Kluyveromyces lactis: one gene and its partner. The protein of the gene in region 2 purifies or fractionates together with the protein of the main gene of each other region. This does not show direct contact. Links are inferred from orthologs where the notes say so. Each region holds a gene or a part of one and is shown on either strand. Other genes may lie near its edges. The genes, in order: TFB4 and TFB3.

Region 1 (3,207 bases), on a different chromosome or scaffold from region 2:
GCACTGTGTTGGCCGAAAACAGGATCCAATGGACCTTGATTAGAATCTACACCAACCATTTGATGGAATCCAATGGCTTATCACTGAACTGGTGGTATGTATTGCCTCCGTTTTCTTTTAGTTATCTCATCTCATCACTCAACTTCAGAACTTTAAGGTTTTGGTCTGTCTTTTCACTATTTGGATCATCAAAATAATCAATAGTGGACAAAAAAACTTTCTTATAACGCTACAACTGGACCGAATGCACTGGAAGGATATGCACTAATGTGCTGTACTCTTAGTCATATATGAGTAAACGGAGATCATCAGAAGAGCATTGCGGGGGATATGAATTAAATGGTAATGCCGTGCTTTGTTCAGACCCACCTTGTGATCATGAATGGGTTCCTATAGAATTGTACCCTAGTCATGTCAGCCAGATGCACGAGAACGTATGTACGCAATGCTTAAGGAACTTTGCTAGTGAGTATTGGATGGAATTACATATCGAAGAATTTCATAATCCGTTCAAGAACGGTAATTACAGGCTAAGATGCCTGGAACAAGATTGTTCGATGACGTTTTCAAATTCAAACGAGAGAATCGATCATTTAAAGAGACACCATTACTATAGTGATCAGTTTGACTTTGATATTTTAAATAGTGGTTGCTGACAGTGATTATATATGTACTTTAAATAGGTATGGAAAACCCCGATGCTATTTATTACTAACATTTTTCTTCTTCGGTACACCATTGCTCAATACAGGCTTTCTTCTGAGTCTGGCGATAATCTTACTGTCAAACGGCGAGTCACAAGCAGGACATTTCTGACCTGGAGGTATCACTGAAAGCACACATAAGCAAACACTACACACAAATCCGACAGCGACCACTTTACCCGTTAGAAAACATGAAGTTCTAAAATCGACAGACCCTTGATTTGGTTTAATTATCACATTTCTCAAAGACGGATCTATAAACATGGCCGTTGATAAATATTGAATTAAACCTCTTGTGTTTTCTACATGTAAGTACACCCCACTAGTGGCATCAGTTGCTTGTTGCAAGAAAGTGCTTTCTATACCCCCACCAATCTTAACCACATCGATGGAACATTTCATTTTGGTTGCCGAGAATATACAGTTCATTATTGGGATATACTGGAATATCTCATCTTTCCCCTGGGATGTACCGCACGTTATCACAAGCAACCGACTTCTCAAGCTTGTATTCTCGTTTTCCTTCAGGATTCTGTTCACGTAAGTTAATGCACTGGACATCGCTCCACTTAAACTACTCTTCATCGAAACCTTACTCTCTTGACCTTCTAATTCTTCCTTGAACAACCTATACCATTGCTCCACCACTATCTCATCCACATTACGGAACCCTCTATACATGTCAGAACTTACCATAGACATACTAGGTTTCGAATCAGCCGATGGATACAAATATTTCATACCCTCGGAGTGTGCAGCAATGAGGCACACCTGGTTTCCTGAATTGAAAGCCAAATGCGCATTCAAAAACACTACGATGGACTTCAACGCCTCTATAAGTTGCTTCTCACCAGAACTTCCTTCCGAACCACTACCAGATTGTTGTTTCGTAAGCTGGACCCATGAATGAATGCTGGTATCAACCACAACAGTGAGAAGAGAAGGCGTATCCTCTATTTCTTGAGTCTTCGATTTGGTTCCTTGGAACACTGTATCAGCGATGGCATCCATTTTAACCGCTTCCTCTTTCAAAGAAAAGGCTATTAATAATAAAAACCTGATTTCACAAAGTTGTATTCGATCCTTTATGGTATATGAAGCGTTTTAATTTAATCTATGGGTCTAGCTTTACTCTACGATTTGATCTTCCTTTAAGATCAGCTTCAACTCTAAATGTGCCTTTCCCAAATTCATGTTACTTGAAATTTCTGGCCGCCCGAAAACATTGGCCCCAAAATGTAGCAGCTTTAACTCGAAAAAAATAATGAACAAGACATCGACACAAGCAAAGAACGAACCGCTGAGAGTCATCTTGTGTTACTGAAAGAGCTGCCATTTGTTTCCTAGTTATCCAGTGAGCAAATATTAAAGGTTACCGGTACTCAAAGCTAATCGTCTTCTGTTTATAATTTTTTTTGATATTCCAACAGGTAGTGTTTGAGAGCGTTTGCATAGCATGACTGTGGATGCTGTAAGCGAATGGAAGCACTGGCTTCTTAAGTATAAGCCAGAGGCCAGCATCACACAGCATGAATGTGATCAGTTTTTATGTTGTTTTGAAGATATTAGTGGTATTCTTGCTGATACTGGGATCAACGATAAAGAAAGAGTGCGGAGTGTTGATGTGATGAGCCTGTTAATGCTAAAGATATACCAAGTTTTAAAGAAAGGTAAGAACAGCGGTAACGACAAACCTAATGAATTTGAGATGACTGTGAAAGAAATTATGTTCAGCATTGATCAGGGGATATTTTTATTTCATTACGTTATTGATTTTTGGACTGACAATACTGTGTCCATGGAGATCCCATTGAGAAATATGTTTGAGAAGCTTTTGCAGCTAATGAACCACTTGTATGGGAGTACACTGATGGAGACGGTGCTTTATGGGTGGGTTGAAACTGTTTTATCATTACAAGAAAATATGAAAGTTCAATATTATTTGTTAGACATCTTCAGTGGTCAGATCGACCTATATGTGATTCTGCGATTGAAACCAAATTTCGTTGAGACTTGTCTCAGTTTGGTCTGGGCGGAAACTCTGTGTACACAAGTTGGAAAGTGTTTATCTAACGTGTTACTAAATTGGTATAAATACCACTTTGATGAATCTTCGATAGAACAATGGTTGTTATTATGGAAGCCTTTATGCTGCCATTATTTGAACGATGCTAAATATACGAAAAAGATTCAACTTTATGTCTTGTCAAATGTTTTCAAGCAGCTTCCAGAAAGTTTTGGCATATTCATAAGAGAACATGAAGGTTTTTCTAATACATTACTGTTATCATTGCTGAAAATCGGACAAGAGTTGGCTATAGAAGAAGAGCCTTTCCATGATGAAAAATATATCAGTCTGGAAGACGTTAGGTGTCTACTGCAACAGGATCAATATAAGCTTCCTACCTTTGAACTACTTACATATTCGAATAAAAGATCTAAACAGATACAACCATACATTTATGACATTATAAGAGAAAACATAACTATCTTTTTTGTCGAT
Region 2 (3,048 bases):
GGACCGATAGTAGGCGACTTGCATCCAAGAAGTTCCAAGAGCTCATCACAAGACAAATGGCTGGAATAGTTTTGAAGTACAAGATTCCTCAGTTTCAGGAGTATACTATTCATGTTCAGAAGTATAACAATGTTACCAATTCTTCTGAGCTACGATCCAAATTGGCTGAATTACCTTTTGCATACATCGACTCCAAAACTGTGATATCCGTTGAACAATTGTCGAGTGCCATCTATAAGGCTATTTTGGAAACAGAGTACAATAGAATGCGGACAAGAACTATCCATTCTGAATGCATTTTATCACTATCTCCTAGTTCGAACATTGGCGATGCATTGAACAGATTTGGTATAAAGGAAGGAACAACTGATATAATTGTGATCAAAATCATTGAAGACAGTAATGAAGAACCCTATGATGGCAATGCTTCCGTTGATGGGGACCTAGTTCCAGTCTCGGATGATGAGTTTTCTACATCTGCCGATAAAGAAATTATCAAAACGGTATGTATTCCTTGTGATAAGTTATGAACAAATGAGAAGACTCTTAATAATGAATAGATTACTAACCTAAATGCTATATGATTATGATGAGGATAAAGAGCTACCGAGCTCTTTACCATTGTACTATGTGTTTTTTTTTTCGGTAGAATTACAAATTGAATAAAGTAGGAGATGTATCAAACGAAGAGTTATCAACACTTGCCGTCAACGCGATACAACTAAGAGGATTGTAATTCTTCGCTAATGATACAACCAAGACCCATGAATGCCTCTGTTAACATTCTATCATAAATGAAGTCCGCCCTGAATCCTGAGGCTATATATTCCTTCTTCTTTTGTAAGTCTCTGATGAAAGAATCATTATACTCGTTTTCAACCAATTCGTATCTTTTGTGTAAATCCCTGTCCCCATTGAATGGTGTGAACGGTACAGTATCTTTCTTCTTCATTCTACCATTTGTCATTGTCATGTAAGGATTGTTTCTTAACACTTTATTTAATTCTTCGAGCTTCCTTCTGGCAGAGGATTTCTTTAGCTTGACAGTCTTTTTCACATTTTCAATAACTTCCTCAGCATCTTCATTCACTGTGAGCTGGTTGACAATTTCTCTCTTTGCCCACTCCCTATTAGCCCTCTCTTCTTCTTCTATCTGTTTCTCTAGTAGTCTTTTCTTTAACTTCATTTCCTTTTCAAACTTCTGTCTCTGTTCGAAGTTAGCGACATCTTGTTTGCTCCGCTCTAAATTTGCCATGATTAGCTGTTTGTTTAATTCTTCGTAGGTTCGTAACCTCTCCTCGGTCTTCTCCATATCAATACCATGGTCTAAGTTGTATATAATATCTTCCACTTCTTCTAGGTATTTATCATAATCGTCTTGGTTGTTATCGAAATCTTCCAGCGTCTTGTTAAACACATTGAAAACACGTTTTCTTATATCAACTTCCTTCTCGACACCTACATCATCAAAGATTTGGGTCTTGAACTTATTTCTTCTCAAAATTTTATCGCACCCTTCGTATGGACACTGAGCAGGACCCAAACTGAATATACGATCCACGCATGATTCACAAATTTTATGATAGCATTCTGGATTGATCAAAAACTTCATATCAGGCGATAGATACCTGTCTGTTTTACAGATAGGACACATGTCCTTCTTCTCATCTTCATCCATGATGACGATTCACGTTGATTCGTAGTCCCAGATGATTTAGTTTGATATCTATTTCTTATTCATTGTCCTTACAATTTGTTCATTATTTATCATCAACTTTTCAAATAAAGGTTTCTTGTTTTATACCACCGATATTGAATGATATTGTATGACAGAGACAGCTAAAATCACAAAATGATGAGAAAAGGATTACTTATGCGGCAGGCAAATGATACTGAAGACAGTAAAGGGAGCATTTACTGAGGAGACCTACTGCGTTGGTGAGCAAAATGTGGTTATATTGTGTATATATGATTTTTTATTAGCTAAGTTGGGGCGTTTATTGCCTTTCTGACAGAATTGTATATTTTATATGGCATTAACTTCTTCATTGTCTTAACAGGTTGCTGAAGGAAGGTTGATGTAAATACGATTATCTTTACCATGGTACTAAGTAGAAAATTTTTTGATGGAATTGTTTTACTGCTTTTATTGGTTTCTTCATCTAATCTTTCTCTCAGAAGAGGAACGTAGCTTTCTTCAAAGTGTTCGACACTTGATACAGAAACCAGTTTTATTGATTCGTTCTGTTCAACTTTTGTGGACTTTTTGAGCAAGGGGCTATGTAAAATTGATGGTGGGTTCAAAGGCGGGGTTGACTCCAGAAGAATGTCTTCATCTACGTCTCTGCTCTTGCAAAAATTCATTACCGTACTTTTATCTTTGAAAATGTTAGCGTTCTGATTCTTGTTCACCCTTCTTTGTGCCAAATCTTCCTGTTCCTTCAGATCATCCGCTTGCTTTTTAAACCTATTCAAACCCTCTTGTGTCAAATCAATATAAAATATTATGAGCATTACTGCAAATCCAACTCTCTGGGAAGAACCAAATCCTATGTGCCAGAGGCAGGTGTAAATCGGAGAAGAATTTCCATCAGGAGCCAAACATAAATGTATGGCAGAAGCTCCTATTGAAACAAGAATCGCATTCATTAGGCCATATATGAATAGCTCTTTCCAGTATTTTCTCAAAATTGGATGCAATTCATCATATTCCATTAAGTATTGGTATGCATAATCATAGATTTCCCTGATGGAGAAAGTAATATCATATATGTTTCTTGATATCACGTAAATAGTCATATAGCAACCAAAAAGCCTATCAACTTCAGATAAAGTTAGGTATTTGGTATTAGTCAGTAGGTCGTAAGATTTACCTGAGAAAGTGTATTGTTCGTCTGAGAACGACAAAATATGTACGGTGACAAAATAAGCAACTTTCCATTTCACTGGCCATGAAACTATCCATTTCATGTTCATAAGCGCATTGAAATAAGTTGGCTGTTTTTCAGGAGGATCAATAAAGTGATTGAGGTATACAATTTTTTGCGG

The links.
Region 1: the proteins of TFB3 (region 2) and TFB4 purify together in Saccharomyces cerevisiae (affinity purification with western blotting; 5 studies listed by BioGRID, with this or other methods). This does not show direct contact. The link is inferred for Kluyveromyces lactis from reciprocal best matches to the Saccharomyces cerevisiae genes TFB3 and TFB4.

The regions. Positions count from the first base shown.
Region 1 is NC_006038.1:755,857-759,063, forward strand, and holds TFB4 (TFIIH/NER complex subunit TFB4), read right to left. Parts: upstream 1,716-3,207; coding exon 702-1,715; downstream 1-701. Other genes in the region: BRR1 (Brr1p), read right to left, coding at 1-59; KLLA0_B08547g (uncharacterized protein), read left to right, coding at 291-656; tRNA methylation protein TRM732, read left to right, coding at 2,161-3,207. UniProt on the Saccharomyces cerevisiae protein: Component of the general transcription and DNA repair factor IIH (TFIIH) core complex, which is involved in general and transcription-coupled nucleotide excision repair (NER) of damaged DNA and, when complexed to TFIIK, in RNA transcription by RNA polymerase II.
Region 2 is NC_006039.1:1,295,972-1,299,019, reverse strand, and holds TFB3 (TFIIH/NER complex subunit TFB3), read right to left. Parts: upstream 1,679-3,048; coding exon 722-1,678; downstream 1-721. Other genes in the region: CGI121 (Cgi121p), read left to right, coding at 57-530; KLLA0_C14850g (uncharacterized protein), read right to left, coding at 1,984-3,048. UniProt on the Saccharomyces cerevisiae protein: Acts as a component of the general transcription and DNA repair factor IIH (TFIIH or factor B), which is essential for both basal and activated transcription, and is involved in nucleotide excision repair (NER) of damaged DNA.